Stegostoma tigrinum: one gene and its partners. The protein of the gene in region 2 purifies or fractionates together with the protein of the main gene of each other region. This does not show direct contact. Links are inferred from orthologs where the notes say so. Each region holds a gene or a part of one and is shown on either strand. Other genes may lie near its edges.

Region 1 (3,752 bases), on a different chromosome or scaffold from region 2:
TGGCCACTAAGTTAGAGGATCATACTTGAAAATCAGGATTTTTATTGCTGTATTGTTCTTATTTAATTACACTGCTTGCATTGAGTCAAAGATTGTGACTTCAATTGTATAATCCAGGTTGAAGGGGCTCTCGTGGTGGTGTCTCTATCTCTGGGCCAAAGGGTCTAGGTTTAAGGCCCTTTTTTCTGAAGAAGGATCTAGGCCCGAAACGTCAGCCTTCCTGCTCCTCTGATGCTGCTTGGCCTGCTGCGTTCATCCAGCTCCACACACTTTGTTATCTCAGATTCTCCAGCATCTGCAGTTCCTATTATCTCTGAAACAGGTTTAAGGCCCAAGTGCCCAAGAGATGTGTCATAACATGTCTGGAATGGTTGATTTAAAATTCAAGTTGGTGGCACGCATGAAGTGCTGTACCATCAAACCCTAAACTTATCACACTATCAAAGGTACGGTTTGTTAGATGACACATTAAATCAAAGCCCCATTTGCCCTCACAGGTGGATCCCATTGAACTATCTGAAACGGTTTATTTTATTTATTATTATCTCTATTTACCCTTTATGTAAAATTACTTATTACTTCATTGCCTTTTTGTGACTGAAAGACTGAAATGCACGCAAATTAGCATTTAGGTATATTTTAGATTCCAGAACAAATAGTGCAGGTCATTGTACACCACATGAGTTTTTTTGTCTTTGAAGGTTTTCCCCCCGAGTAGGGTTTAAATAAAAATGGTTGTGCCTTCAAACAAACTCTCCAGAAACTGAGAATGACAACAGTTATAACTAGTTTCCACCTATCAGCTCAGAAAGATGTAAAAACAGCGGCAACTGGCCAGCCAGTCAGCAAAAAAGAGGCCTGCCAGGAATTGGATTCGACCAATAAGTAAAAGCAGAAAGGAGTGGATTTTTTTTTGTCGTCAATCATGGCAGGCGGAAGGACAATGTTCTGGGAATGACCTCATGTGACTGTAACAAACTTTTTAAAGCTAATTTCACTAAGTGTTTTTAAAGCTTTAGTTAATTCTTTTTACAAAAACATCACATTTTAGCTATTTATTGATTGTAGGCATTTATAAAATCAGTTTGTAGCACCAGGCGGCTCTAGGGGAAAACAAAATATGATTTTTAATTGAATGATTATTCCATCGGAAATCTCGGAATACCCCGCTGGAAGTTTGCTGCACGTTGTAAGTATCTGGATGGAGTTTTTGTGATGTGATTGCAAAGTGAGACGATGTGAAAAGGCGAACGGGTCCAGTTTGTGATCGCGAGGGAGTGATTTCTAAATGGCTTCCCTGGCAAGCCCGCGCCTGCAGAAGCGAGAGGAAATTTGTTCTTGTTTGTTGTTTTTTTTAAAAAAATAAACTAAAATGGGGAATTACGTGGTTTCCACAATGTAATTGCTGTCGCGTATCTGTTTGTATTTTTTTGGGGGGGGGTCATCTCCCTCTTACAGCAGCTAAAAGGACGACAAAAGAATTGCTTAATACCGCCACGTGCGAACGGTCTAACGTCTGTTTATCTAACTTGCTGCCAAATAAACCGAGGGTTTAATTAAACGTTGATTTTTTTTTAAAAAAAAATCTGCCTAATATCTCTCGTCTCGATTTACTCTGACCCAAACCAGTGAGGTGTCCGTCTTTTTCTCTTCCCCTCTCTTCCCCCCCCCCCCATTATACCATTCACTCTTTTCAGAGTTTGAGACACAAAGTGGTATCGTTATCTTTTGAAATGTGGAATCTTTCGATCAGCAATAGACTTGAGAATTAATTTAAGACTTCTGTAAGGGAGCCGTGCCTGAAAGCAGCTTGGTGTTTTTGCTGGCGAGGATTGTCTTGGGCTCTAAGATGGCAGCAATACATGTGCTCCAGGTTGGATTTTTTAAAAAAAACTGTAATCGCTCTTCGGATCTGCAACAAAAACTGCAGCTTTTTTTTGATGGTTGTGGTTATTAAGATTTTAAACCAAATCTTTTCATTTTCCCCCCTCTATAAACAAAGTGGCCAACGTTTGCTCACTTACGTTTCTGTAGCACTACTGCAAAATGAGCCTGAAGGCTGCACCGAATCAGGGAGCGGGGGTCAGATTTCAGCCAGCCAAGCTCTTGAGCAAATGCGAAGGGGCAAGAACCATCACTAAAAGTGGGGAGCACAGCCTTGAGGTATAGACGTGTAATAAATGCTCGCCAGACAGTGACACCCATGTCCCACCAGGTTTTTTTTGTAGTGGCAGTTTTACTTGACTGCTGCGACATGTGCTTTCCGACCTTCCTTCCAGGTCAGGTAACTCCCTATGTGTGCCCTTCTCTGAATATAGTACAGTATAATTTCAGATTCTCAAGTGGTCATGGCATCGGGTCAGAGGATTGGGAAAAGATAGACTAAAGATGGGAAGCCCAGGTTTGTTTTGGATGTGGGAGGCGGTTTGCTCAGGAGGAGTGATTTTGAGAATGGAGGGCATGCCATGATCTAGTGGCCCAAAAGGAGGTCAAGCTATTTATTGAAATGGTCCAGCAGCTGTTCTGCTCTTGAAGTCTCTGTATGTGTTTGGGGAGTTGGAGGGTGCAGCTTTTCCCAGAAGCTGATGGTGATTTGTGAAGTTGAGGGCAAATGTGGGGAGATACAGGTGATGAGTTTGTGATTGAGAGCCTTGTTGACCACATTCTGAAAGCCATGCTGTGACAATACTGGTTGTTGTAATGGGATGTGAACATAGGGGTGATGGGATGGATAAGTGCCTTCAGGTGGCTCTTAAAATTGCTACCATTGCTATCTCAAGTGAAGGATCTGAAAGTGTGAAGAGACTTTTTTTGTTGGTGGAAGGAGAGCGAGGAGTTGACAATGTGTTCGTAGGAATCTTTAAAAATTTTTCCTGTCATGGTGGGATGGAGATGACAGTAGGCAATAGCTGTGAAATTGATATAGTAGCGTTTACCTTCTGCTAAGGAAGGCCTTTTTCAGATGCTGGAGCATTTGTTTACTTATCTACAGATCTTCAGAAATTTGTCAACTTTCCCAAGTGTGTCTCTAAAGACAGAATTGCCACTGAAGACTGCTTGATCCCACCCACCATTTCCTGGCTGAACATGGGCCCTGACATTCTTCTTGTTATTGCATGTCTGTGTGGGGTTCTCTGTGGACAATATGCTTGTGCTGATGCTTGCTTCTGTTTGTGCAATATGAGTAGATGGCCTAGGTTGGAAAACTGGTTGACTTGGTATTCGTGAAGTAAGTTTATAAGTGGAATAGGTTGTCCAGTCTGGTTTAGGATGCAGGTGATGGTAGTGCTTTCACAGTGTATTTCGCAGCATTTGAGGTGTTGCTGTTTTCCTTTTGAGATTATGTTCTCTGAATTGTTAACTTTCCACGCTAATCATCTGCAACTTGTAAATTCAAAATTTAGGTTTTCTTCTTGCCCCTGTTTATCTCACTTTTTTACCAGTGCCCTAACGGAAAGATGAGTACCAATCAGATGAGGTTTTTGCTATAGTTTAAAAAACATGGTGTGGGTTTTGGCGATCTGAAACAAGCAAAATTGCTGGAGAAATTCAGCTCTGATGTTAATTTGGGTTTTCTTTTCACAGATGCTGCCAGATCTACGGAGTTCCTCCACTTTGTTTTACTTTGAGCTAAATGTTTGGCTTTGTTTAGTTCAAACCAAGGGTTTTGCTTGTTTTGCGTGAGAGCAGTTCTTTTTGTCATTTGTATTTCAGATGCTGCTTAGACTACACAAGCCTTGATGTGCTACTTG
Region 2 (3,752 bases):
ACAGAAGTATTAAATGAAAAAAAAAATTGTTTTCAAGGTCCATCTGAATTTTCTGCAACTACTTACAATAATATGTTTTAATGTTTTATGCCTGGTGATTGTTGAGTAGTCTCAACCCTGGCTGTAAACACTTAACATGATCTGTGGTAGTGCAAAAATGCTACTCCTCAGGATAATAAAAAAGTTTTAAAATTAGAAATCATCTTTTTTGGAACAGATAAGGTGACTTTTGTTCCAGCAGGTTGGAACCTTGCCTCAGAAGGCAGTGGAAATGGGGGTCATTGAATATTTTTAATAGAGATAGATTTTTGTTAAGTAGAGAAAATCAAAGGTTACTGGGGACAGATGAAAGTGTAGATTTGAAGCACAAACAGATCAACCATGGTATTATTAAATGGCAGAGCTCCAATTTCTTTACAGGCTCAAAAGTGAAGAATGATATGCACTAAACTGCACAAAAAGCCATTTTTCTAACTCTACTACACTGTGAATCAACATTTTGAAGACAATAGAAAAATAAATGGATGGGGGTGCAAGTGACAGTGCAACACATGTAAATGTAAACTGTATCAGAGATAATGGGAACTGCAGATGTTGGAGAATCCGAGATAACAAAGTGTGTAGCTGGATGAACACAGTAGGCCATGCAGCATCTTTGGAGCACAAAGGCTAACAAAATGTAAACTGTTTCCGTTTTGCTAATGGTATGTTTGCACTAATGTTAACATGTTGCATTTTTTTCTACTTCCCTGAAGGCACTCACTCGCTGTTTGCACCCCAAGCAATTCTTTCCCATCTTGCAGCTTCCGCCCATTTTCTTCTTCCTTTGATTGACAACCGCGACCGCGCGAATAATAAGAGGCAGGGGAAAAAAATTCAAATCTGAAACGGAACCGACGTGCGTCCGCACATCAAGCACCCATTGGCTGGTTTCAATAGACGCGGGACACTTGAACTGAATGGGGTTTTATCAGTTGCCGGTGGTGACGTCTGAGCTGATCAGGGGGAGGAGGAACCTGAAAAGAGCAATTGAACAAACTGTCCCAGGCCGCACGGGGGTTGGGGGGAGGGGAGGACAATTGTCTATCAATCCACGCAGTCTGGCGTTAGGTGGAGGACCGATTATAGAGCGGGACCCGGCCGGTGGCGCTCGAGCTGGGGTCGCTCCCTTTCACAGGTAACGGGGAGCCTGGACACAGCTCCGAGCCGCCAGCCCGGTCTCATTCCGATTTTAACTCGACGGTGTATTTTGCCCGTGTTTTTTGTTTCAAAGGAAACGTGTACAGTTTTTTTAAAGTAAGATTTTTAATTTTTTTTTAAAAATCCCGGAGTTCGAGAATGTATCGGGCTTCTCGCGACGCTGTCTCCAGGGACTGGGAAAACGTGCTACCCCAGGCGGTGAAAGCCGTCAGCTGGCAGGGTCAGGAACCGGGAGGCCGGGAGCGAAATGCGGGCAGAGTCGCCGTTCCTACCCCTGTCGGTGGCAGGAAGGTGCTCGGAGTGTTGCAGAGTAATCAAGCTTTACAGCCCCATCGCAAACCCGTAAGTAAAGAGGCAGGTTCTGTCACTGGATGATCGGTGCAGGTACAATCTGTCGGCGGTGGTCTCCAGTACGGACTCTGAGTACGCGAATGCCACGACTGGTTAATATATATCATCCGACGGTTTCTCGGCGATGAGGATTAGCGTTAAATTCAAATTGCTCCAACACCATTCAGTTTCCGTTTTGCAACGGCTCACAAATATCTGGATTGTCCTCCACGTTGCAATTTAAAGCTTTTACGCTGGTTGACGTTCGAAAAATAGTGGTACTCGCATATTGATAGCAATAGTTACTTGTGTGATGCAGCACTTTATTGAACGCTTACACGTAAGCATTAAAAGTGCTCCACACTCTTTAACTCTATATCAGCCCGCAAGCCAAAACGACCTTGTTGCTAGGGTGTCCTAATAGTTTCTCATAATTGGATTGCGGAAGAACTTCACATTTTACGCGTGTAGGTTTAAATTGAAATCATTGAGTTCTTCTCTTCTCCGCCGGCCTAGCAAATATTGAGGAAATCATCTACTGGATTTTAGCCTGGTTTCCCCCGATTCCGGGACTCCGGAAAGAGTGAATTTGTGAATCGCAACTATACTCTAAATCGTCAGTGATGCCACTGCAATGAGCATGCTAACGATAAAATAGGCAGTTTATTGGAAAATCGAGAACTGTATGATTCCATACGGCTTGAGTAGTATTTTAAATAGATAGGTTACTTTTTAATTAACGTCACTATAACAACTTTTTTCAAATGGGACATACTTCATGAATTTATGGTGCTTGTTCAAAGTTCAGGATCATAAACAGCTTCTTCCCGGCAGTTAGTAGACTGAAATGGACACACTCTAGCCTCAAATAATGCTCATCTTGCTAACGTTGATTTCGCCTAGCGCGTGCCCTTTGTAATGTAACCTGCATCTTTGTACAACCTCTGATCTGTACATCCTTACTTTACTGTGATTTTCTTGTACCGATTGCAAACAAAGCTTTTCACTGCACTTCAGTACTCGTGACAATAATTCAGTCAAAAGGAATAGTTGACTGATCTTGGTTACCAATAAACAGACTTTCTGTAGAGTTATATAAGCCTTTGACCTGACTGGAATCCTTGGGAGTTGAACACTTTATGTCTACCAAGGTGTTGTATGCCAATAGGGAAATAATCAAATAACTGAGCTGAGATACTCTTGTTTTCTCCACATCTGCACCTGAGTTAAATTTGCATGTTTCTGCAGTCTTGGATCATTAGTCGTAGGTGATTCTGTGCTTCACCCAGAAGCTGAACATCTGCCACAATTTTTGTGGATAGAATCATTTGGCACTTCCACCCAAATAAACCTAGAGGTGTTGGAAGTATTTTGGTGAAGTGAATATCACAATTGAACTGAATCTGCCCTCGTTTGGTTTTCAGTCTCTTCCTTTTTGTTTTTCAAGTAGAAAATTACATTTCCCCCTCCTGCTTCTGAGTCCGTTCTTCAATTCTAGAGCTACTGAATTTTTCTTTTTAAAAACATACTACTTAAAAGACACAATTCCATCTTAAAAAGTAAGAATGTGCTACTGCATTTGGAACAGAGTCTTTTTCATGACAAAGTTGAGTTCAAGAAAAGATCTGGTTTGTGATTGCTTCTCTTAAAATAATGTAATGTTATTTCTTATTTTTAAAAATCAAGCTTTGAAAAAGAGACATGCTATTGAAGTGTCTTTGCCCTACACAAGGAACATCAAATTTCAGAGGGAGCAATAATGTATGCTGTAATTATTAAAAAGAAAATATGCTGATTGGTTGGCACATCATCTCAGGTCAAGTCATTATCATGGAAAATAATGGGATAACTTGTTCTTCATTATCATGCCATCTAGACATGCTGCCATTTTCTGAAACTGTCTGCTCTGATCATGACCTGAGCAACTGTGTAGCCTTGGAAATTAACAACTGCTATACCCATAGGTAGACTTGCAATGGATACCCTATGTGCCCATCTCTCATTGAAATCTTTTGGTTTTCATATGAAAGCATATTCCATCCATCCACCCACCCCCCCCTCACACCCCCCCAAAAAAATCCTTTGCGTACTTCGAACACTGAACAGTACAGGCCCTTCGGCCCATGATGTTGTGCTGAACTTTACCCTAATCCTAAGGTCTTTCTAATCTCCACCCCTACCTTTACACTAGCATTCATATGCCTATTTATGAGCCACTTAAA
Region 3 (3,752 bases), on a different chromosome or scaffold from region 2:
ACATTTGTAAATATAGCAAGGGCCTAGATTTCAAGTTATGGGAATAAGGGAAGTGAAAAATATTTTAATGGGAGCAAAATAAAATATTTTCAATCTTTTGCTGATTGCTGTCAGAAAACATGTGTTCAAGCTCAAGCATGTGTTAATTTCAGATAGACAGGCTGACAGAGGAGAAATGGCTGTCAGATGAATCCATGAATAGTGTCAGTGTCAATCACTAAGGAGCAACTTGTCAATACGGGAAAAGGTAGGCAAGAATATAGCCAAAAAATGTTCTGCAGAGATAACGGTTGAGGTGGTAGAAAATCCAGTGCTGTGGCTGACACTGAACAGGTGGTCTTGTGAACATAGGCTACAAAGAAATACGTGTGAGAGAGGTGATGAATTGGGCCGATTGTGTCAAACACAATGGATACATCATGGTGTGCAACATTTATGTTTGCATACCTTAATTAGAAAGGTTGGCATTGTTGACACATCAGAAATCAGGCAGAAAAGAGAGGAAGTGAATTGTCGGAGTGTTGAGCACGATGCTGGGAAATAACAATAATGAGGGATCTTTGACAGGAACGGAGGCACCAATTGTTGGGAATCCCTAATTTTAAAAAAATCTTACGTAGCTGTGTTTTCCATCTACTTTAACGAGGGCCTCATAAATCAGCAAGTTTGGTGTTAGACTCTGGAGATGTTGATTACAAGGATCTCTAGTATACAAACATACAAATCAAGGAACTCGTAGTTCCCTAGGCCATCCAGCCCTTTAAGCCTACTCCACCATTCAATAAGATCATGGCTGACCTCATTTTGACTTCAACTGTTTTTCTGCAAACCCCCAATAATCTTCCAACCCCTTGGAAATTAAGAATCTACCTACCTTAAAAATATTTCAAGGTTCTGCATCAACTGACTTTTGAGGAAGAGAATTCCAAAGTCTCTCAGACCTCAGAGAAAAATGTTTTTCACATCTGTCTTAAATGGTCAACATTTTATTCTTAAACTATGATCACTAATTCTAGATTCTCCCACAAGAGGAAACATCCTTTCCACATCCACCTGGTCAAGTCCCCTCAGGATCTTATATGTTTCAATTAAGTCACCTCTGACCTTTCTAAACTCCAGAGGATGCAAGTTTAGCTTGTCTCAGCCTTCCTCAAAAGACAATTCATTCATTCCAGGTGTGGGTCAAGTCAAACCTTCTCTGAACTGCTTCCAACACGTTGAAATCCGTCTACAAGCACGGTGACCAGTACTGTACACAGTACTCCAAATGTGGTCTCACCAATGCCCTGTATAACTGAAGTACAACCTCTCCATTCTTGCATCCAACTGATCTTTGCAACAAAACATAACTTTTCAACATTTAAAGCACATAAAGGTTACAAAAATATGTTGAGAGAAACACAGAGTCTTTAATGTCAATGTTGTATGAATAATTACAACAGACAATCTAAGAGATAAATCGAAAACATTGTCAAAGGCAAGAATGCAATCACTGACAATCAGAATCATAATCGGAAGGCTGCTGATTGACCTTCCAATACCATGGTTTCAGCATATGACAGAGTGATAGATTCGGACAAGACTGATTTGGATTTGTACATCATTTGACCATTGGGTGAGGCAGAGGTCCTGTCTGAATTTCTACCTAGGCTGCAAAAACAAAAATGTAATTACTGTTTGTGAAACCTGACGTCGCAACAAACAAGTGAACACATTTCAACAGAAACTGATTGGCTGTTAAGTGATTTGAATATCCCAAAAACATGGAGGGCACGATTTTTAAAAAAGTTATTTATTTCAAACTACAGTAAGAGTAAGACACGGGGTCATAGTTAATCTGACAGGATGCTAGGTATCGCAAAATAATTTGTTCGCGGTTAACACTCAGGGCACTCCTAATTGGGGTACTTGGTGCGTAAACAGTGGCATTGATGGAGAAACTGTTGAATGTTTTGGTTGCCTGATTGGCCTTTCTTATCTCCGCATATGTCAAATTCACAGCATACATTGGCGAGACGCTCTTCCGGTGCTTCCTCTTGCAACTGAAGGCTCAGTTGTTTACGTGGACGGTTTGAAACTTTGCTTTTGGCAAGGTGGGCCGGGCAAGGCACTGCTGAACGAGAATGTGCAGGTTTCTCGAACTGGAGCGAGGACCTTAAACTACTTTAAATGGCAGCGCCGAAGGGCAGGCCTGCCCCTGTTCTGCAAGGTTTAGCATCAGCAACAAACCCGCTCAGCCCGTCGTGAAAATTAAAAACAAAACAGGCAAAACATTAACTTTCAAACGAATTGATTGCAATAGCCTGATGTATGTATTCCTTGTACGCTGAATTCCAATGTTTCAAACTAATGTACACGCAATGAATTACCTCTGACCCTTCCCCTCCCCCTCAGCTGTCAGTGGGTACTTATTTACTCGCGGATGTCACCTCGGGTACACGCCCCCTTATAGTCAGGCAGCTTCCACTGTGTCTCTCTCTCTCACCCTCTGCCCCACACCCTGTCATACTCACCTCCAGGGTGTATGTCCTGCTGATGCTCTCGAAACTTGCCCAAGCCTCACATTTTGCACCCTCGTCCATGTTCAATTTCTGACAAAGTTCCTCAAACCTCTGCCAGGTCCGGCAGCCGCCCTGCTCGTCCTCGCTGGCCATGGTGGCTGGTGAGCAGGAATGGCCGGTCGGGTTGTGGGTTAGTGGAAGTGCTGCTGCAGGAGTAGCAGTTGCAGAAATACCGCTGTCGCTGTCCCCGGGAGGGCTCAGGCAGCGCTCGCGGGCCGCACTGTAGCCATTTAAAAGCCGCTTGATTGACAGCCCAACGTCCCGCCCTTGCCACCGTCTGATTGGTCTGCCCAGCTGCCCGTCGGAACGTTCGATTGTTGCCTCCTGATCGTTAAGTGGCCGCGCGGCCACGTCAATCACAGCGCTTCCTGGGTTAGGCCCTGCCTACTCCTTGCCCAGTACCTGGCAAAGCACAGTGCAGGCTTTGGCGGGGGGGGGCTGCTCTTACAGGGTACCAGCTGCCAGCCTAGTACTGGGAAAGAAATCGCAAGGGAGGGGAACATGACCTCCACATCGCAGAGAGCATGCAGAGGAGATTTAATAGAAAGATTTGGAGGGAATCAATAAACACCCATTCTGCTCAACCCCTCCTAAGAAACTTCCTTCATACCCAATATTAAACTAATAAACCTTCCCTGGACTGTCACCAATGCCAGATATCTTTTGTTAGACAAGAGAACCAAACCTGTTCACAGTATTTCAGGTTTAGATTGACAGGTGCCTTGTAAAAATTGTAGCAACCATTTTACACTCCATTCCCTTTGGAATAAAGGCTTGAATTCCATTTGCCTTCCCTATACTCATTGAACTTGGATGCTAACTTTCTGTGATACATACATCAACACTCCTGAATCCCTCTGTGCTGCAACTTTCTGCAATCTTTTCCCATTAAATAACATTTGCATTTCTATTCTTCCTGTCAATGTAAAACCTCTCAAAATTTCCCACATTATATTGTATTTACCAATTCTTTTGCCCGCTTGGTTAACCGGTTTATATCCTCTTGCAGACTGTTTGTGTCATCCTCATCATTTGTGTTCCCTTCTCTTGTGTCATCTGCAAACGTGGTGATATTACGTTCACTTTCTTCATCCAAGTTATTAAAGGTTTGTAAATAATTATGGCCCTAACACAGATCCTTGCATTTTTCCAATAGTTACACATTACCATCCTGAAAAAGACTTTTATCCA

What was found.
Region 1: the proteins of ccna2 (region 2) and cdk4 purify together in Homo sapiens (affinity purification with western blotting; 3 studies listed by BioGRID, with this or other methods). This does not show direct contact. The link is inferred for Stegostoma tigrinum from reciprocal best matches to the Homo sapiens genes CCNA2 and CDK4.
Region 3: the proteins of ccna2 (region 2) and rbl2 purify together in Homo sapiens (affinity purification with mass spectrometry; 3 studies listed by BioGRID and IntAct, counting the BioPlex papers as one, with this or other methods). This does not show direct contact. The link is inferred for Stegostoma tigrinum from reciprocal best matches to the Homo sapiens genes CCNA2 and RBL2.

The regions. Positions count from the first base shown.
Region 1 is NC_081404.1:17,944,800-17,948,551, reverse strand, and holds the start of cdk4 (cyclin-dependent kinase 4), read left to right. Parts: upstream 1-900; 5' UTR 901-1,189; intron 1,190-3,752.
Region 2 is NC_081354.1:36,740,985-36,744,736, forward strand, and holds the start of ccna2 (cyclin-A2), read left to right. Parts: upstream 1-1,032; 5' UTR 1,033-1,177; intron 1,178-1,331; 5' UTR 1,332-1,338; coding exon 1,339-1,542; intron 1,543-3,752. UniProt on the Homo sapiens protein: Cyclin which controls both the G1/S and the G2/M transition phases of the cell cycle. Functions through the formation of specific serine/threonine protein kinase holoenzyme complexes with the cyclin-dependent protein kinases CDK1 or CDK2.
Region 3 is NC_081369.1:24,613,313-24,617,064, forward strand, and holds the start of rbl2 (retinoblastoma-like protein 2), read right to left. Parts: upstream 2,815-3,752; 5' UTR 2,655-2,814; coding exon 2,514-2,654; intron 1-2,513. UniProt on the Homo sapiens protein: Key regulator of entry into cell division. Directly involved in heterochromatin formation by maintaining overall chromatin structure and, in particular, that of constitutive heterochromatin by stabilizing histone methylation.